Linked DNA regions of Lepisosteus oculatus. The protein of the gene in region 1 interacts with the protein of each later gene in a biochemical or structural test. Links are inferred from orthologs where the notes say so. Each region holds a gene or a part of one and is shown on either strand. Other genes may lie near its edges.

The links. The genes of interacting proteins can lie anywhere in the genome.
Region 2: the proteins of cAMP-dependent protein kinase type II-alpha regulatory subunit (region 1) and akap1b form a complex in vitro, tested with the Homo sapiens proteins (2 studies listed by BioGRID, with this or other methods). The link is inferred for Lepisosteus oculatus from reciprocal best matches to the Homo sapiens genes PRKAR2A and AKAP1.
Region 3: the proteins of cAMP-dependent protein kinase type II-alpha regulatory subunit (region 1) and akap13 form a complex in vitro, tested with the Homo sapiens proteins (3 studies listed by BioGRID, with this or other methods). The link is inferred for Lepisosteus oculatus from reciprocal best matches to the Homo sapiens genes PRKAR2A and AKAP13.

What each region holds. Positions count from the first base shown.
Region 1 is NC_090699.1:65,621,281-65,628,109, forward strand, and holds the start of cAMP-dependent protein kinase type II-alpha regulatory subunit, read left to right. Parts: upstream 1-3,811; 5' UTR 3,812-5,248; coding exon 5,249-5,486; intron 5,487-6,829. Other genes in the region: slc25a20 (mitochondrial carnitine/acylcarnitine carrier protein), read left to right, coding at 254-344, 436-553, 1,058-1,130, 1,533-1,642, 1,819-1,943, 2,242-2,304. UniProt on the Homo sapiens protein: Regulatory subunit of the cAMP-dependent protein kinases involved in cAMP signaling in cells. Type II regulatory chains mediate membrane association by binding to anchoring proteins, including the MAP2 kinase.
Region 2 is NC_090721.1:6,861,383-6,868,254, reverse strand, and holds the start of akap1b (A kinase (PRKA) anchor protein 1b), read left to right. Parts: upstream 1-3,863; 5' UTR 3,864-4,025; intron 4,026-4,084; exon of another isoform or gene 4,085-4,169; intron 4,170-4,201; exon of another isoform or gene 4,202-4,270; intron 4,271-4,391; exon of another isoform or gene 4,392-4,610; intron 4,611-4,640; exon of another isoform or gene 4,641-4,771; intron 4,772-6,872.
Region 3 is NC_090700.1:54,735,331-54,742,536, forward strand, and holds the start of akap13 (A-kinase anchor protein 13), read left to right. Parts: upstream 1-4,197; 5' UTR 4,198-4,466; intron 4,467-7,206. UniProt on the Homo sapiens protein: Scaffold protein that plays an important role in assembling signaling complexes downstream of several types of G protein-coupled receptors.

The sequences.
Region 1 (6,829 bases):
ACCCCAGGAGTATTTGCGAGCGACGCTCTGTAAACCCAAATATGTGCCTGAACTTCTTTGTCCTCTTGTCTCCCTTAACTCTTTCATTCCCCATCCCTCCCTCTCTTTCCTGGTTCACTCCCTCTTCCATGTTGTCCAACTCTCTTTTCCTTCTCCCCGCCCCTTCCTGCCTTCTCCCCGCCCCTTCCTGCCTTCTTCCCCCCTTCTCCCCGCCTCTTCCTGTCTCCTCTCCATCCTCTGCCCTCTCTCTCAGGTATCCCCAGCTCTTCGCAGCGGGAATGCTGTCGGGAGTCTTCACCACTGCCATCATGGCTCCTGGAGAGAGGATCAAGTGCCTCCTGCAGGTCAGGGCCGTGCCCCACGGGTGTGAGGCTGGGTTTGAGCCGAGAGCGCTGTGTGGTTGAGTGACAGCGGGTTTACTCTGTGGCCCTGCAGATCCAGGCAGCCTCGGGGGAGGTGAAGTACGCCGGGCCGCTGGACTGCGTGAAGCAGCTGTACAGAGAGAGCGGATTGAGGGGCGTCTACAAGGGCACGGTGCTCACTCTCATGAGAGGTACTGACGAGGGAGGGCCCTGGGAGACCCACTGGGAGACCCACTGGGAGACCCACTGGGAGACCCACTGACCCATTGGGAGACCCATTGGGAGACCCACTGACCCATTGGGAGACCCATTGGGAGACCCATTGGGAGACCCACTGACCCACTGGGAGACCCGTTGGGAGACCCACTGACCCATTGGGAGACCCATTGGGAGACCCATTGGGAGACCCACTGGGAGAGAGACTCTAGCACTGAGAGAGACACTGAGAGACACACTGAGAGAGACACTGGGAGAGACACTGAGAGAGAGAGAGAACGTATTTGTTTTTTTTTTGTTATACGTCATTTAATTTGTTGTTGCTGCTGCTGTTCTGTCTTTATCTTTTGGGCGATTCCTTTGATGTCTGTGTATAGGAGCGAACGTGCAAATAAGCATTTCATTGCGCCTGTGTGTATGACAAACGAACCGAACCGCGAGACTGAGACCCTGATACCGGCGCTGTCTCCCTCTCTCAGACGTGCCGGCCAGCGGGATGTACTTCATGACGTACGAGTGGCTGAAGCACATCCTGACTCCCGAGGGCAAAAGGTCAGCGCCCGTGCCCGTCTCTCTGCAGCCGCGCGGGGGGCTGGTCAGCAGTGCCCCTGACCGGGGGGGGGGCTCATTGACCCCCCCCCAGAGACGACACAAGTGTCCCGGGCACCGCTGGGGGCTGGGGGTGTGATATCCAACCGCTGGGCCCAGAGCCCCAACATGCAGTTCTCTGGTCACCGCTGGCCCAGATGTGGCCGGGGACCCGCGGGCCTGACCGGGTCGGTCAGGGGGCGTGTGCCTGGGGGGCCCGCCGCCACCTGGCGATCTGGGGCTACTATAATCGTACGTTTGGATCGGGGTGCGTTCGGGCTCTCGAAACCAGGCCGGCTGAACAGAACGGGGAGGAGAGCTGGCCCACTGACCCCCCCCCTCTCCCCTCCTCTCCTCTCTCTCCAGTCCCAACGAGCTCAGCGTCCCCAGCGTGCTGTTTGCCGGGGGCATGGCGGGCATCTTCAACTGGGCAGTGGCCATCCCCCCGGACGTGCTGAAGTCCCGGTACCAGACCGGTGAGACGGGTCGTGGGCCGGTGGAGGGAGGGGTGGGGGAGAACAAGAAGGGGTCTCTCTCTCTGCTCAGGGGTCAGGAGGGGGTGGAGAACAGAACAGTCCACTGAACTCTGACTGGGGGGGGAGAGGAGGGAGGGGTGTGCACTGACCCGGTCCCTCTGCCCCTCTGTCCGCAGCGCCGGAGGGCCGGTACCCACATGGTTTCCGGGACGTCCTGAGAGAGCTGCTCCGCGAGGAGGGCGTGGCCTCGCTGTACAAGGGCTTCACTGCTGTCATGCTGCGTGCCTTCCCTGCCAACGCTGTGAGTCTCTCTGGCCAGACTGGGGCCACTGAGCCTGTCCTCTCTGGGCAGCCAGGTCTGCCTGTGTCCAGTGTCTGTGTCCAGACTGTGGCCACTGAGCCTGTCCTCTCCGGACAGCCAGGTCTGCCTGTGTCCAGGCTGTGGTCACTGAGCCTGTCCTCTCTGGGTGGCCAGGGACTTTCCCAGTTCTGTTGAATGCATATGGACAGTGTTTCATGTGTATAAACCTGCTGAATGAGTGTTCTCCTGGTATAAATCTATCTCCCCCTTTCTCTCCCTCGCTCCCTCGCTCTCTCAGGCCTGTTTCCTGGGGTTCGAGGTGGCCATGAAGTTTCTCAACTGGATCGCTCCCAGCTTGTGAGCGCCGCCCTGCTCTGCCCTTTGGGGCAGCTGGAGGTCAGGACACAGACGCACCTGTGGAGAGAGGGACAAGAGCCAGACCTTTGCAGTCCTCGGCTGCAATATCTTTTTGATTGTTCTCGTTTTTCATTCGAAATTGCCTGTTTTTTTTTTTAACGATGGCCTTTAACTGAGACTAAAAAAAATGATTTAGAACACTTTGCCTTAAAAACCTTCCTGAATGTCAAGCAAGCAGTGCGCTAAAATACAGGGAATACCAGTGTGTGTATATAGAATATATACTGTACACCTGTATATATGTGTATATGTACATGCCCTCCAGTGTGTGTGGAGAGGAACATTTATTGACCCTTCTAAGCTACAGTTCTGACTCTGGTTTAAACCCAGTTATCAAACGAGCCTGACCCCAGCACTTGTGTGTATTTGGTTGTGTTTGTGTTATTCTGCCTTTATGTAGCTGCCACTTTTTATCCAAGGTGCTAACTGGACGATGAATGCGCTTGCACTACAGGAAGCAGGGCAGTAGGTTTGCCTAACAGCATCTTAGAAAGAAAGTCCTCTAACCCGATCGCAGTACGAGGCGAGCCGCTGCAGCCGTGAAAGAGCAAGGGGCAGGTTAACGTGTCTGAACACGAGGGTGCAGCACCAGGAGTGGCCACCAGAGGGAGCCCTGCGCACACGATGCACCCCCGGACCTGGGACCTCTAGCGCAGCGTGGGATAGCCCACCGATGTGCACGGTCAGCCGCATTAACAGTGACCCGCTGCGCGGAGTTCACCGTCTGGTACCGGCCCACCTAATCAGATACGAAAATAGAACGGCTTTAATTACCAGGATTTCAGACAAAGCCGACTGGGTCACGAGGGATTTACGCAATGTTACGAAATGGGGTTAAAGGAAAGGAGGCGATGATCGATCCCAGCGCACCCAAGAAGAGTGAAAACGAAACGCTGGCGTGCGCGAATGATGCACCCTGTACCTTACGCCGCAGACCTGCCCCGTGCTAAAGCCTTCGGGCGGGCGTATGCTAACGAGCTTTGGAAATGCCGTTAGTTACTGGCCAAGCGGTGCAATCGGGATCCAGCTTATCGATCACGCTTGATCAATCGGAGTGCTCCCTGCTTTGCCAGGCGCGGTGTCAAACACACCTCCAGCCCCTCCCGCGTTCTCGGCTTCCCCTTTCGTGACGTCTCCTCCCTGCCTGGCCTTCCCATTGGCTGCGCCGCCGCCGCCGCCTTACCTCGTTTCCGATTGGCCCTCTGTTACACAAGGCCCCCCTCACTCGCCCGCCCCCCGCCTCCGCTCATTGGTCCCTTCCGATTCCGCCACCGGGGCCCCATTCCCTCCCCTCCCGCGCGCGCGGGGCGATAACGCCTACTCCATGCCCAAATAAGGGAAAATTCTTGGCGTCGGCTTGGCCGGGCCGGCTCCTGATTGGCGGGTAGGCACGTCGCTCAGCGGCTTCGCCCGGGCCCCTCCTCCTCCTCACTGCCGCTTCTGCAGCTCCGGCCGAGGAGAGCGAGGGTCTCGCCGGCAGCGGCACAGCGAGGGAGACGCGGAGAGAGCGGGAGACGACTGTAAATATCAACAAGCGGATAATTCGTGTTCGAGTAACTGACTCAAGAAGAAGCCGGGCACGCCGGGGACTCCTGTCCCGGGAGGAGGAGGGGGGACAAAAGTCGGGTTTTGGTCGGCGGCGGCAGCAGCAGCAGAGGGACGCTCAGAGGGACAGACAGCCCGAGCCGCAGCCAAGGGTTTATCTTGACTTTTGGACTGACGCCTTTTTTTTTTTCCTCTCCTCCTTGTGACTTTGCTGTATTTTGTTTTTTTTTTAAAAAAAGAGAAAGCCACCCGCTCTTCGGGAGCTCCCGCGTCCCCCTTTCTCCCTCTGTTGGCGGTGCGGAGCGCAGAGGCGGGCGGGCCGGTCCAGGCGGAGCGGGGTGGACGGCGCTCGCAGCCCCGGCCGGCCTGCTCCTCCCCGGTCTCGGCCCTTCATGGTCCCCGGCGGCCCGGGCGCTCGTCACGGGCCAGGCAGCGAGGGGGCGCCCCGGAGGAAGGGGAGGTAGACGGGGAGACCCGCAGAGGAGGCTGTCGAGCCGGGGAGTTACCTCGCAGCCTCGCCCGAAGGGGCTGGTCGCCGCCGCCGGACCGGAGACGCGGGCGGATAGATCGAGAGATAAATAAAGCCCACAGCCTCACGACAAGCCCGGAGCGGTGAAGTCGGCGGGGTCCCCCATACCCCCCAAAAAAAAAAAAAACCTGCCCTCCAGCCGGGGCGGTTTACGCGCGCGCGAGCCGAACGTTTGTTTTTTTTTTCATTTAAAAAAAAAACTTTTCCTCGCCTCGAGCGCACGGGGGGGGAAGGGCTCGAGCGGGGCCTTAACCCGACCCGGCCACGAGCCAGCCGCGCCGGGGTTCGTAAACACCGCCGGTTCCGCACGGAGCGGCCCGGGCTGCTCGTCTGCGTGTTCCTCCTCCTCCTCCTCCCCGAATAAACCAGCGGGTCTGAGCCGCCGCCGCCGCTTCAGGAGGATCTGTGCGATTTGGAGCTGTCAGAAAACACGTCCCCGCGTGTCTGTGTGCAGCTGCTCCCCACGACAGAGTATTCCCACTCGTGTGTGCATCGTGTAATCGGCTTGCCGTACGCGTGCTCGTGTTACGTTAGGTATTATTTCCCAGTCAGGGGGCACCGTGTTGTGTTATTTTTTTTCTCCCCTCTCTCGTATTGCATGCACTTCAGTTTCAACAACAACAGAAAAAAAAAATATTTTTTCCCGACCCCGCCCCCCCCCCTTCATTCCTGCGCTATTTTAAAACGCTTTGTTTTTTTTTAAATCAAACAAAAGCTGACCCGACCCCTCCTCCAGACCCCCACATACACACTCGCACACCCTCCTCTGAGGGGTGAGTTCACAGGGGAACGAAAATAAACCACAGGCAGCGCCATGAGCATCGAGATCCCGGCCGGCCTGACGGAGCTGCTGCAGGGCTACACCGTGGAGGTGCTGCGGCAGAGGCCGCCGGACCTGGTGGAGTTCGCGGTGCAGTACTTCACCCGCCTGCGGGACGGCCGGGCCGGCAGGGCCCCCGCCAAGGCCGTGCTGTTCGACGGCGAGCCCATGCAGACCGAGTCCAACGGGGACGAGGGCGAGGAAGACGACGACGACGACTCCGACTTCGAGCGTGAGTAGCGCCGCGTCCTGCGGGATCGTGGCCGGCGTGCCTGGGCGTGGATTGAGTCGGCGAGCGGATGGGCTTGTTTGGGTTCCTTGGGTATCGAGGGGGTTAACGAGCCTCCATAGGTGCGCGTCAGGTCAGGGGGGGGTGAGTCGTGTGTCGCCCCTCCACAGAGCGAAGTCGAGCTGAGGTGCACGGGTCTCTCCTCATTCCGCGCAGTCCCAGCTCAACAGGTCGTGCCCCACCCCCCTCACACTGGCGTGGACCCAGTACCTGACATCTCCCCCCCGCGCGTTGAAACCGTGAGAGCGGTCCACGCGGGTGCGAGACGAGCTCCGAGCACGCCCGCCCCCCCGCTGCTGATGATGAGCCGTGTCAGTGGGCTGGCCCAGTCTCGGCACCGGTCACTGACAGCGGCGCACCTGTGTGCTGAGAGAGAGTCTCCCACTCCTGCGCAGGTGTGATGATGGTGATGCTCCTCTGAGCCCGGCTGGGTTTCTCTTACTGGCGGAGAGGGTCTGTGTGGGTCCGGTGACCAAGGTCTGAAGTCATGGAGGAGCTGGGCCACTGTCACTCTGCTCTTTAAACAGGCCTGTCCCTTCAGCCCTGGTCTCAGTGGTCAGTGTGTGAGGGGTGTGAAAATGAGCCTGTGTGAGAATCCGTCAGTCTGCCAAGCTCCTCGTCTGGGCTGCTGGTGTGATCGAGCGATGGCTTCTGTGTGACTGGAGGGCAGCTCTAGAGTGGGGGCTGAAAGCCTGGGAGAGCTCGGCACCAGCAGTCTGTCAGCAGAGTTTCCTTGTGTTGTGTTGGAAGAACAAATGTTTGCCGAAGGGCCTTGGGAGTTTTTTTTTCTTCAGCTGAGCAAGATCCCTATGAGCTGTGTGTGTGTGCGTGCGCGCGCGCGCGTGAGAGAGAGAGAGGTGCTGCAAAATGAGCTCTCAAGATGTTTTTGAACTTTGTCGACACGAGTGAGACAAGTTGCAAAACCAAAATTAGCACTGGGTGCCACCGAGCTGAATTGAAGCGAATGGTTGGGGGACAACCGGTGGGGTGTTGGCTGCAGAATCCGGAGCTGTGCAGCGGCCTGAGGGACAGTGACCAGACAGGGCCCACTGCACTTCGGAGACCGGGCTGAGAGAGACGGGGAGGCATCTGTATCCTGGCGCGTTGGTCTTGGTCATGTGTCGTGTGTATACGTTTACTGTGCTGTATATACCAGTACACTTGCTGCTTGGCACTGGTGATATACAGTTCTTGGTTTTATCCACTTTTTTGTGTTTGGGATCTTATTTTAGGTTTATTTTTAGCTACAGTCCCAGAGAGAGAGGCTTGAGTCTTGAGTGAGATGG
Region 2 (6,872 bases), on another chromosome or scaffold:
AAGTCTCTCTAGGTTTTGGACCGCCAGTAACCGAGATGCTGTACAGGAGAGGCCTGAGACGAAACTGATTCAGCTGAGGGGAGGATTCTGGGTGCATCTCTGCTTTATTTGTGTTTCGTGCCAGGGTGCAGAATGCAGTTTTCCCTCCCCAGGCAACTTGCTCTCTCTTGTCACAAGTGTCACCTGGCGCAGCGCGATGCAGACGTTGCGCAGAAAGAAATCTCGCACCTTAGCAGAAGGTGGGAGAAGCTCTGTCTGCACAACTGTATGGGAAGGGAAAAACGACTAGTTGGATCAACTCGCTTATAAGCCTTTAGTCTCCAATGCGGGGTTATTTCAGTTTTCAATAGATGATACCGAATTAGTAAAAATTGTTTATTGAATAGGAACAAACTTAAAAATATTTTCACTCATTTTGGAATTCCCATTTTCTCACCCTTTAATGAGAAATATTTTGCGAATTCCTCCTCAAAAGAATGCTCTGCACCTGTGTGACAATGGTACGCAACTGTAGGGGGAATAGCGATGGACTGGGAACTGGATACTGAAAAGGTTAGCAAGCACAGACGTGACGTTTGTTAGCTGGGAACTCCAGAATATGGCAGACTGAGTGGCGGCTGTTGGTTTGCATTGCAGAGATAAAGGTCCTGCCTCTGACTGGACAGCGAAACAAAGCTCATCCGGAACCGAGACCTTTTAAAAAATACAACCACCATTTTCTGAGGGCACCTAATGATTTTCAAAAAGATTTTAAAAGCTGAGAGTGCACATAGAGCAGATGACCTGGTTTGTGTGAAGGCTGTTTTGTAGTGTGTAGAATTGCACTATTCCTAACTGCAGTCAGACATGTCGTTTGCAAGGAGTAATGACCTAAAATTAGGCACCTCTTCCACGAGGTTATGCAAAACACATTTTCGCCACAAGGAGTCACTGTTGAGCGTTAGCCACACTATTTTTTTTAATGCAGTACGTTTCACCTCTGTAAATATTTTGTGTAAAATTTGACAAAGGTATATTTACTACACTGTAAATACATGTGACGATATATTGTATTATTTTGCTTTTTTGTAAAGCAGTTAGTTGCTGTACATGTATAACATACAAATTTAATTATTCTAGTGTTAGTAATGATACTCTCCACTTTCATTGCATTATGCCATTAAAATAAACATACTGAGAAAAAAATAGAGATGACTACAAATTGCTGTGTATTATAAACTCGCACTGTGTAAGGTAAACTTTACTGTTCCCTTTGGACTTCGCCATGAGCAATGTTACCTTAATGAATAGCCTCATTCCTTTTACTTCTGTGTGGCAAAGACATGCCAGAGGAACTCATCAGACGCTACAGAAACTGCTGTCAGATTTGGATATGTTACTCGTAGCTACCATTGTAGAAATCATTGTTCAAAGTTTTTGCTCGTCCCACCTCTCTCCCTTTCCATTTCCATCCCTGTATGTATGACTTTTTTTGGAAGTAAAAATGTAAATTCAACCTGTTAACATCTGTTGTGCTGGTGTCCTTCTGTTCGGGTGACCCAGGCAGAGAGCCGACAAGTCCTCCGAGATAGCTGAAGAAGAAAAAACGCACGTTTTAAATTATAATTAAGTGAACTTTTTTTTTAAAGCAGTCCAGGCAGATTTTTCTGTATGGATGAGCTGATGGGATTATTTTTGTCCCAGCTTTATTTTTGTGTCCGGCTTGTGCTCTGAATGCTTTTTCCCTGCCAGGTAACTTGCTTTCTCTTGCTCTGAACTTCTTACAAGTGCATTACCCACTGAAGCTAGAGCCTAAATACAAGACACCTCAGGACAGGTGGAAAACCCAGTCTGTGAGGCCTTTTGTGCAAATGGCTAGTTAATGGTTAAACTAGCTGACTAGTTGGGTGTAGCTGATGCCTTTAACTGTAGTACCATGCAGGCACAAAGACTGGAATTGTGCAGTGCCTGTTTTGGTGGAAAGGGAATCATGTTTAAGAAGAAGACATCCTGCTGTTAGAAGTTTATGGATCCAAGAAACTATTTTAGATTACAAATATTTTTGTCATTAGCACCTCTTATATCTACCTGTGAGTTTTATATTTTAAGCTCAGGGACCATGAGGAAAAAACGTTAAGTAAAGAAAGTTAAGGCAGATAGTGGCTGCTACTGTCAGCTTTCCTGTCCTGTGGACTTGAGCTCCTTGATCGATCTCTTCTTGTGCTTTTACTAACTGCAGAGGCACTTGAGGGAAGTACGCTTAATTGCTTAGTCAAACCAGAGATTAGCACCATTCACAATGCAAAACCCTTTCTCTTGCGAAGGCATCCTGACGCACACTGCACAGTTCATCAGACGCAGTCAGCATCACGCTCTTGCATGATGAAAGCATGCCCGCAAAAATTAAATGATCGTTACTGACTTTACATAATCTCACGTTTTGGGATTTCTGCTCCGAACATGAAAAGGAGGTCCATAGACTTTAGGGGGACTTTTCTTGCTTCACAGGCAAATCAAAATAAACTTAAAAAATACAATAACTAATAACATGAGAGTTAACAGATTGTTTAGCCTTTCATCTTGTAGATTCTTCCTCATCCCAGGAAATAAGATTAACTTTGTCCCCCATGGGGAATTTTTTGTATGGATGCATACTAGTTCTGTACATCTGAATACATTACAAAACATTGCATATCACTTGTATTGTACATGCATAACTCATTTTTTAAAAAATAGGGAGCCCTAGATTATACAAATCCAGAGTGTAGTTTGCCCCAGACACTGGAGTTAACAACCTGCCTCTTGCCCTGAGATTTTTAATACAGCAGGATCTGTTTAACTCATCTGAAGGACAGCGCCTCCTATGGTGCAGTGTCGCCCATTGGCTGCCACCTACTGGTCTATCACTACATCACTACAGCAGGTTCTTTTTTGAGATACATTTTCCCGTACTGACCAGTCCCAGCTCGGATGCGATCTGGACAAGACGAGATGGAAACGCTTTTAATTAATTAATTAATTAATTAATTGCTTACACTTATATCGCGCTTTTCTGAACACTCCACTCAAAGCGCTTTACAGGTAATGGGGATCCCCTCCACCACCACCAACGTGCAGCCCCCATCTTGTTTTTTCCACCGTCTCAGTAGAAGACACCGTTTTTAAAAGGGGGTGGCTGCTTTTGTTTCTTAGTATGATAGTGTATAGACTGTATATTGTACTGCCCCGCCAGGCGGGCTGAGAACAGCGCCTGGGGGCGGGACTACAGGACGGTATATAGTAGGGCGGAGGCTGCGAGACAGCCCCTTCCTTTCGTGTGTGTGTTAGAGAAGGTGCAGCGCTGTAACCTCTGTCCTTGTGTGTGTACCTTTTCCGGTTCAAGTTCAAGTTAATAAATGTGTTCAGTCCTATTCCCCGAGTCCCATGCCTGCTCCGTTCCGTACCGAAACCCGAATTCGTTACAATATTCTAGCTCCCAGGAGGTTTATAACAATGAATGAGCCCAGCCCCACGTTAAATCAAGTAACAGCAGCGATTCTTATTTTCACACCAAAAGCCAGGCAATATGAGCTGCCCGTGCCGTCAGATTCTCTCAGGCCACCATCCGTGAACACTACGAGCTTTTCTCGTCGGCCCGTGACGCGTCCCCTCCTCCCAGCCTCGCGATAGGGGCAGAGGTCGCCCGCCGCGGAAACCCACGCCATGGCGGCTCCTGGCCGCCCGGCGCCGTCCCGCCGGCGAAGCGCCGGGCGCCTGAGCCAACATGGAGGCCGGAGGGGCGCCAGTTTCCTTCCTGCTCTAAACCCCGCCTCTCGGGATTCGACGCCTGGCTCGGAACCTCCGCGAGACCCGCCTGGCTGCCCGGGCCTGTCGCGAGATGTGATCAGCTGTTGTGTCTGTTTTTAGAGTCCAGTGTCCGGACTGCCAGCACGTGGGGAGGAGAGACAGACAGAGAGGGGAGCACGCTGGGGGATTAAGAGAAGGGCACGAATCTGTTTAGATAGTCGCATACAATTCACGGTGGCGCTTTACAAAAAAGAAAAACAGTAAGTATACGTGCGCTTCGTATCCCACACCATGTGCGGCGGCGGCGAGGCGAACGGGGCTGTCGGCTCAGCAGGCGTGTTAATAGTAGCGTTAGATTTCCTGACGTAGCAGCGACCTATCAAACCTCAGGGAGCACCGGAGCCGTAAGTTAACTTTTCAGGCGAGCCTTCCCGACTCGAGTCTCCGAACTGGGTTTTTTTAACCCCCCACCACCACCACCACCACTCACCTCCGTGCATTCCCAGTAGGTCTTTGCTGTAGTTTGGAAGAACAGAAAACGGGATTATTCATTATTTTTTGTCCTTTCTCCACACACACCCCCCCTCCTCTCGGTTGGGCACAAAGACACCGAAGGAGGCTGCCTTGTTCTGGCCCGGAGCACCGGAGTATCGCACCGGCTGGATTGAGGGGGTCGCCCGCCCGCGGAGGCGGCGTGTGTGATTTCGAAAGTGTAGCCGTTTTGAATCTTTCGCTTCTCCCTCCCACCATCACCACCTCCCTGGCCCCCCGTATAGCGGCGCGGCACCGCCTGCGACCCGAGTCGAGGAGCGGGGTGGTGTGGTGCGCGCCGCCGGACCGGAGAGGTACAAAGACGGCGAAGCGGGGAGGTTTGAAGGGCCGGAGCGGTGATCCTCATGGGCTCGTTAAAACCCGCTAGCGCCCGACGCCGTGCTGAAGGCCGCCGGTAGCCGAGTTCCCGGTGAATTTGACGGAGGAGAGCGATTCCGTTTCGGCGGGTCTGGAGGTGACTCATTCTCCTCATTCGCCCAGTGACCAGGAGCGCTGCGGCCTACCTCGCCTTCGCAATATACCGCATACATATACTACAGCGGCATCGCTCGTTTTGCATTGTTTCCTTGGTTTTTGTCGTCTGCGGTGCCGCATGACTGGGGTGGAATGAGATTGTTGCCTTTCTCTCTCTTTTTTTTTTAAAATTCGGTTTCCCCACTGGCGAAATGTAGCGGGGATGGCGGTGCACCTTCGCTCGTCTTGTAGCAGCTTGCAGTCCCTGCTTTCTGCAACGTGCCTGACGATGCTTGTGTGTGAGGTTGTCTGTTAAGTTTCTGCTGCAGAAACGGGGCTTTTCGGAAGGACGCCGGCGTGTTGTGTGTGTGTGTTGGGTGGGGGGGGGTTTCCGATTAGACCTTGCGATACACTTAAAATCGCCCACTTGCTCGGTTTGTCGACACGCCGGGCACACACACGGCCAGCCCGGTGTCCCTTGCGCCCGCTTGCCAAGGTCGCGGCGCGGCCGCAGTTATTTTATCTCCTGGTTCAAGGTGAGCTTTGGAGGGGAGGCGGTAACGCTTCATTAAGGACGGGAGGTTAGGCCTCGCGTGCCGGTCAGAGCAGCCGGGGAGATCCTCTCCACGCGTGGGGAAACAGGTGTAGGTCACGGAAGCAGACGGCGTGCGCGTCGCTCTCCCTCTTCTTCCTCCGCCGTCACCGGAATGTCGCTTTAAAAATGTCGCCGTGTGCGCTTGGGTGTGTGTAGTCGTGGGCTACCTGCCTGCCTGCGGCTACAAGCCGCCTCCCCACGGCGGGCGAGACAGAATCCCCCTGGGGCGAGTGCACGGCAGCTCTTCGGGAGGTTAGGCGCCCGTAGTCGTTGTGGAATCGTATCGTTGTTGTGGCGGGATGAGTGCATGTTTTCTTCTCCAATTCGCGAGCAGCTGTGAAGTTTTCAACTGACATACTTGTTAGTGAACTCCTCCTGTTGGAGTTTTAGTGGTGCTTCATCACTCATTTTCTGTGGTGCGGTTTGCGGTTGCTTTTTCCTCAGGTTTAGATGAGGTGTGTTCACTTAGTTAATGGTGAAGCCTGGTTTTTCATGTTCAAAGCATTTTTTTTATACAACTGCAAAAATAAATGTGTCTGTAGGTGAAGCTCAGAATGCCTTAACCGAGTTCCTCGTTGTGAATGGGATGGCTGCTCCTCGAGCTGGCCCTGGTGATGTTAAGCATCCACTTGTGTGTGGTGGATGATTTCAGCATGAGGAATGAAGGGCCCTCTACTTCCCCGGATAGCCATGAATCAAACCACAGTCAGTCCGCTACTCTTCTGCCATCAGACAAGGTGGCTGGAAGGTGGAGGAAATGTTGTGTGCCACATTGAGCTGAATGCATTGTGGAAGGTTTCCTGCTATGGGATTGAGCACTGCATGTTTCATCATTGTCATGGCTGTGGAGAGGGGAGTGGGTGACGTTATTGGCTTGTTTGCGGTTCTTGCCGCCACGTACTGCTTGGTGCTGCTTACCTGCTCAGTCTCCTGTCCCGCAGAGGTTGATCAAGCTAAAGGTCTTTTTGGCAATGCGCACAAGGCAGGCAGGAAGGCGGTGTGATCCCAACTGGAGCGGAGTGAAATACTGTAAAGGGGACCCGGATTGATCTGAGCCAAGGGCATTTAGACCTGCCGTTCTTCCAGCACCTCACACTGCAGGACTTTCCAACAACCTGGTCTTTAATTATTTAATTGGCCCGTGCAGCATGCAATTAAATAATTATGCAATTGACTGATGTTACAACATGCTAGAATGGAGAAGATGGGGAAGGAGCGCTTTGTGTATTTCTGATCTCTTAACTGCCAGGGTAGACTTGACGGTTACCTCTTGTTTTCCTGAATGACTTCTCACTGTGGAAGCCTGGACTTGGTTAGGATTCACAGTCCACCCCTGCAGAAACGGGGATGATGTTGGCAGCCTCTTTCAAGTCAGTCAGAAACGTAGGGTTACCTTGCGGTTTACTTCTGTTTTTAAAAAAGGAGGATTCAGTCTGCTCTGCGATTTTAGCTTTTTAGTATAATTTTGTTTCCGGTCTTGGTTCTGGTAACCCGAATGCGGAATTGG
Region 3 (7,206 bases), on another chromosome or scaffold:
GCAAAGATGGTGGCTCTGTCTTCTCCTCCCTCTTACCAAGTGGCTCCCTAGAAAACGAAAAACACTAAGCCTTTTCTTATGAACGTCACCGGGTTGATGTAAGTGGATCGGTCTTAACTTTAATTGGCCGGTGAATCTCTTCAATAGGTCAGTGGCAATCTCACATGTAAGCTTGCATGCTTGTGCTCACTTTCTGTTGTGTGTGCAGGAGAAGGAAGAATCAAAGTGAAGGAGCAGGGTTTTGGTAGAATTACCACGTGGGGGTGTCTTAGGGTTGTCTGGCAGCAGCATTCTCTGGCAGGTCTGACTTTTAAGCATGTGCCATTTCTCTTTTCTGGAGAAATGTGGCTGCCCTCTCCTCCCCCTTACAGCTTGTATTACTTGTTTGATTGAAAATATTTGAAATGTGTATTAGTCATCTGCCTTATTTAGAATCTAAAAATAACGTATTGATTGTAGTAGCAGACACTATGTACTACAGTAAAAATGCAGCACCTTTGCTATTGCTGTACCAACCATGTCATAGGCCAGCTGTCACCTGGGTGCCCTCCCCTGCAGGAGCTTGACCGACACAGCAAAGTTAATGTCTGCCAGTAGTGAACTAGCATCCCTAAAAACAGCGACACCTGCTGGGCACCTGCAGGCTTGCAGAGAGAAGCACCACTTGTAACAAGTTGTAGAGCTTCTCAGAAGAAGGTGTCTGCATGTCCCATTCTCTCCTACTGTAGGTAAGGTGGTACAGCAATCGCAGCCACAAAGCCAAGCCATGTACAATTGGGTTGTAATTGTAAAAATATACGTAAAACTCCCTCTAGACCTTTAAAACTTTTTTGTCGTTTTAAAAAATATTTTATATAGTTATTTTTCATCTCCTATCCTTCATTGAAAAGAAATCTTCAATAGTGTATCATAAGCAGTTCTTTATACTGTTTGTGCTGTAGGGGTAATCTGAGATGCTGATTAATTTGAAGACCCAGCTCATACTGTATACAGTCCTGTTTCATACTCAGTGCTAAGCACTGAAGGCGATAGGCCCTGCAATAAAGTTTTGTAATTGTCAGTTTGACATGATGAGATGAGATTGGTATCCTTTTATAACAGCTTCACCACATTAACTGGAACCAAAATCAGGCCTTTTCTGTCTCTGAAGTCATGATCTCTAAGGCGAAAATCCAAGAGGCTCCTAAACACCAATTTGATCAGTTTCTGCTCAGTCCCATGGTCCTGAGAACCACACACACCATACAGCCCGCGCAGCTCAAGGAAGCAGAATGGTGCTCTTCCTGTTGCACAAGCCTGATTACAGAGCCTGAGATCCGCTGAGCCTCTGCATCTCAAGAGCACAGGAAACACATGGTGCAGTTCAAAGAGGATAAAAACAACATTTCATGTGGTGTCTCTTAATCGGTTCAGATGGGCAGCCTCTGCAAGCCGACGGAGAAGTCTCGGGCTCAGCGTGGCCCATGCCAGATTGCTCCGACAGCTCATCTGACTGCTCCTGTCGTCAGCATTTTTTTCGTCTAGTCCTGCGGCCGTAATTAAAACCTGGCCTGCAAAGGGTCTCCCACACTCCAGCCAGCCTGGGGTCTGCGCTCTGCCGTGAGGGCGATCCCACAGCACGAACAGCAACACCAAGTCTGGCAGATGGGACTCAGATGCAGCTGCTGGAAAGGAAAAACACAAACCACATGGTTCTTGTTATCCCGAGCAGTTAAAGGGAATATTTATTATCTGCTCAATCAGGGGACGCATGATTCTTTGTAGCCAGGTGGCCTGAAGGATAAACACACAAGTCTTATAACCATCCATTGCTCTGAAATTAGTTTGAGCAGGAGGGAAAAAAAATAGCAAGTTTGTACTTGGCATGTGTCTGCGCAGTGTTGCATAACACTGCACATTTGATGTTGAGAATGACAGAAAACATTCATGAGGAGATGGGTTTCCATGTCAGCAGGTAACCAGGTACCCCAGGAAATCAGATGTCTGACCAGCTAGTTTCCTCACAGAACTCTTTGGCTCCCCCAGACAGTAAAAAGCTGTGTTTTGCAGCCTCCATGAAGGTGCTCCTGTGATATTGGAGCCTGGAAGCTGTAGCATGTTGCTGAATGTAAACAGATAAGATTAAGAGCTCTTCAGCGTTCATTCACTTTTTTTTTTGGATTCCATGTATCGCAGCCAGAAAGTTGTTGTTTAAAGACTGGAAGAACCCCAGATGCCTGTGTTTCTTCAACACTCTGCTGCACTGTCTGCTTCCTGTAGATTTTGAATTCCTGTGAAGGACCTGAAGAATCGAGGCGTATTTCACCTTTTTTCCACTGTATGGTGCCAACTGGTTGTTTATTGAAATGACATAATCTACACTAGATAACAATACACATCCTCTTGTACACACAGGAGGAGGACAGCTGTCTGTAATAAGGTTGTTTACACAAGTGGGAAGATGAAACTCAGTTTCCACATTGACATCACCTCAGATGGTGAGTGGCACAAAAATTAAAAAAGGCCCATTTTGTTACGTGTATTTCCTTTTTTTGAGTGCATGCTGATGCAGCCATCTACTCAAACCTGTTTAATCAGTATGTGAAGATCTTTCATGGTTGAATGATATGCCTGGTAATGGAGAGACATAATAGTTCTAAACTTACTTTAGCTGCAAAAATCAAATACATCTTTTAACTTTTAGATAGAATTGTGGTGGAATACGTTGGCTTTGTATTGTATCAAGTGGTCCAATTTTGTAAATACACTAAACGAAGAAAAGGTCAATGCATTACCCCTATAGTCCGCCAGAGGACACTGAAGTAACCGCAAGAGATTTTCAATTTTACTCGCACGCATACAAGGTATTGTTTTAACGAAGAGTTAATGCGTGCGTCCGTGAATTTTAAGAAATAAATGCAAAAATGAAGCATGTTTATGATGGGCTTATATACGAATATCTTGCGTACTGAACGTTTATTGGTTGATAATGCATATTTTAAAATTGGTTTATTCATTCTAACCTGTATTATAAGACAGTATACTGTTCTGTTTATTTGACAGTTTGATGTAGGTTTCAATGTCCTGTTTCCTAACCCTATTTTTAAGTTTTCCTGATACCAGAATGTCTGGCACGTCCGATGGTCGATACAGCTCCCAGTGAATTCAGTTCTTCCACAAGAACACTTCTAACACTGTAAAGCTCTGCACAAAGAAGGCGGCACGCACGCGGCAGCGTTTGTATAATAAGGTAATGACGCCTCAGACTTCATGCAGCTGTAATTAGCGCATCTCAGTCTTTCATCACAGTGTACGGAGCTTGGCTAAAGCCTGGCGTTTCCCGTAATAGCAATTACGTTTAAAGACAGTGATTTGCTAAAGAGGGTAGATTACTATTTTGTGAACACTCCACCCTTTCATAAAACCAGGTAGCTTGTTGAACAGCGTGTATAACCGTATATTAATATAGTTGGTCATGTCAAGAGATGGCATTCTCAGAATTTTAGCATTCAACGCTGAGAAGCATGTTTGAAAGCAAAGCCTTTGCTTTTTAAATAAACGTTATAGATGTCAATTTTCTTTCTATTTGAAAGATTCGTGAAATACACAATAAACAATAATAGAATTGTCTTTAGGAACTAGTACCACTTTGCTTTTTTAAAGGTTATACATATATTTTTATTATTGTTCCGATAGTGAAACTAGTATAACACTACTACAAATGCTGAAAATGTTATTCATCTTTCTATATACGACTAAATTATTTTTAACGGCCATAAAATAGCTTTTTAAATAGTGTTATACAGGTATGGATGGTATTTAATCAACGGGCAAAGCTGCTCATTTAAACTTTCGCAGATTTACTGGAAGACTTGATTGTACACTGGTTTGTTACCTTTGGCAACGGTATTTACTGCCTCGTAGTCTTAGGAAAGTCGACAAAGTACAGAGTTAAAGTGACTAAATAAACAACAGAGAAGTAAACACATTTTGAGGGATAAAAAAAATGAACAACAACAGCTTCTATCTTTTCATAAATTGCAAAACGGGTAATTACCTTGCTGATAATCATACAGTGAAGAAGGTCGGATTGACAGCCCGTCTGACCAATGAAAGTCGCTGTCCGTCGCAGCCGGTCTCCGAGCCTCTAAGCTGGCAGGGCCCGCCCACCGAAGCATGCTCCGTGCCGCGCAGCACACAAGAACAGTGGGAGCTGCAGAGTAACTAGTGGTCGTTTTCCCTTTAAAATCTATTCATTTTCTGCTGTATTTCCAGGTGGAGTTTTGTTGTTGATCTTTTAATGCACATTGAAGGCGTAGTCTTGGAGGATTAATTTTCCACACGTACACCGGCCAGCAACGGGGTTGGAAGAGCGAAGAGAAGTTGTTGGAAACAATGTAGGTTTGTCCTTGCTAACTTGTAGCTGGATCAGGGCAGGCTATGCTCCTTAAAGGAGAACACGCGAACTGAACATCACGAAGTTCGAGGTAAGAGGCATCTCAATTATTTGCGTGAAATCAACGTTTTAATAACTAATCGCGTGTTTAAAACGATGTTTTAAGGACCTCTTGACACTTGTTGAATGTTGGTAAAATGCTAAGTCTGAAATCAAAATACTATTTTATTTTCTGAGGCTGACGAAAGAAAGTTATTCATTGTACTCTGCGACTTCTGGTTTTATGAATGTTCTTACTGTCATTACCATTTTAGCGCTGTTCGAGGACATGATAATCTTGGTCATGCTTGATGTTTTTTAAACGACCAGTTGCAATTTTCTTAATTTCCGTAACACAAATTCACATTTGTGTTACGTACGCGTCTGCAGGGGCTTTGTGTGATAATTTCATTTAAAGTCTGAGCTTTCCTGTAGCCGGAGTGCGTAAGCATGCTCGTAAATGGTTGCAGTTTAATTTCGATTTATTAGCAGCGCTTATGTTCGTATGAAAATGGGGAAATGGAAGTAATCAGTTGAAACTTTTTAACGGACGCTTTTGTGTGTATGATACTGATAAAAGTTGATCTCCAGAGACATAACGGGAGTTTACTGCAAAACGGTACGATGTATTTAGCGCTTATTTGAAGGTCTACATGTGAAATGTTGTCTTGGAAAACCACTCAGGTCTTGGTATTAAATATTAGTGTCAAGAACGTTGTTGGTGACTCCAGTATTGATTATGTTGTGTTAGTTCTTTCAGTCCAACTCGTCGTGCAGTTATTTCAGAGGTTGTTTTTACCAATTTCAAATTTTAAGCTTAAGTACTTAATATGATCATGAAGTTAAAGCATGTTACATAAACTTACACCTTCTTGTCCCCTCGCTTCGCTGAGCCCTGCCTCATCCGCAGCGCACGGATTACTGAATCTAGGCCATACAGCCCCCTCGGCATCTCCAAAAAGTTTGGAGAACTGGACGCCAGCCGGTTGGAAAGAGCAGCTAGGAAGACGGGACAGTGTAACTTCGCTGTTTCTTGTGGCAGCCTTCACAGTGCGGTAGAACCAGATTTAATTTGTCGCGAATCACAAATAAACACTTCTGAGTCACGATGGGCTTGCGCGACGAGCCCAGATGTGACAGGAGGGGAGAAAGTCTCACCCAGCTCAGTACGAAGTCAGACCTTCCAGGGAGGCATTGTCGGAGCGTGAGTGTTTGAGCAATGACCGAGCCCATTATCACGAACAAGATAGCGTGAGTAATGCACTTCACCTCATTTACTGCGAGTGTTACTCCCCGACTCGCATCTTTTCATCGGCATAAAAATGGCTGAAGAGCTTCCCAGTTAACTGGTGCCCATCAGGGGTCAGTCAGGTGGGCAGTTTTGATGGTCGGCAGGACGGCCCGGATTCTAGTTCATCTTACGAAGAGCTAAAGCACCTTTACTTTTATTGGATGAGAACTTTTTGGTAAATTAAAATCTTTTTTTTGGATAGATTTTGTAGTTCATCTTTTTTCCCCAGCTCTCATTGAATGCCAATTAGGCGTTAATGACCAACTGGTAAAGAAAGTCTCTTGCAGTGAGCTCTGGTAATTTGGGTCAAAACATTTTGGTCTGTCATCTTTAAACCATTCTTTTACCAGTCAAATGCAATTGTGCTTTTTGAGGAAGTTCAAGTTACAGGTTCATGCACTGTTAAATGCAATGAGCAGTTCATGATGTGGTTTCAAGGGTAACGTTAACTTTTTATTCTTGTCATTTCAAGAGCAGCATGTAAAACAGACTGTTTTCTCATAATCTCTAGCCTAATTGGGATGTTTATCAATTTGAGGGTTAAATCAGTGCTCTGTTTTGTAAAAGCTAGCTATCTCAAAGAGGTTTTGGTGCTCTTATTTTTTTTTTGCATGATTATTGAAGATCATTCTGCATGTCCTGAAGTTTGTTTCCTGTGATGCAGATACTACATTCTTAGCATGTGACTCAGATTTGACCTGGACTGCAGACAGTATAACACTTACTAGGAGGTGTAAAAAAAGGTGTGAAAAATCTAACGTACTGTTGATTTCTAAAGGCCCAGGTGGATATCGTGATTTTTCTGAAGTGGTTAGAAAATGCTGCCTCACCCTCAGCCTTTTGCTCTGAGGTGCAGAAATTCTCGACACATAATCAAGGCTGAATTAGCGTCATGGTAAAAGGCAGAAAAAACCGCTTCAGACCTGTTTAGCCTCTTGTATGGAGAGAACACAGCTGTGTGCACGTGCGGCTCAGATCCTGTCCTCTTTCTGTGGGTCTGGGTGGAGGGCAGAGTGGTCTGTCGAGGCTCTGCTCCCAGCACACCTGACTGCATGATCAAAAGCAGACGACCTGTCAGAATCCTGTTTTCCCCAATTAAACCAGTAGTCAGCATTTAACATTGGTTTTGCCAGAGGAATGATCAAAAAATCAAGCTTTTCCAACCTGTTATTGAAAAGAACCCAACTTAATTTTGCAGGGCACAATTTTAGCAATGTTGAACTGTCTGCATATTCAATATTAATATACAAATTGAACATTATATCTAATCAACTACAAATTCTGTGGGTCACATACTGTAATCCAGGACATGTGCCTTTGCTTATCTCCGTATGTGCATTTTAACTTGCATTTTCCAGACATTGCAGTCCAATGGCTTCAGACAAGGATGTGAAAATTGTTTTCCGTTAAGAGAGGTTTTTGCTTTCCTGTTTAAAATCTTTAGATTTGATACCTAGTTCCCTGTATGTTATTGGGGTACTTTTAAAGCGAGTATGCATTC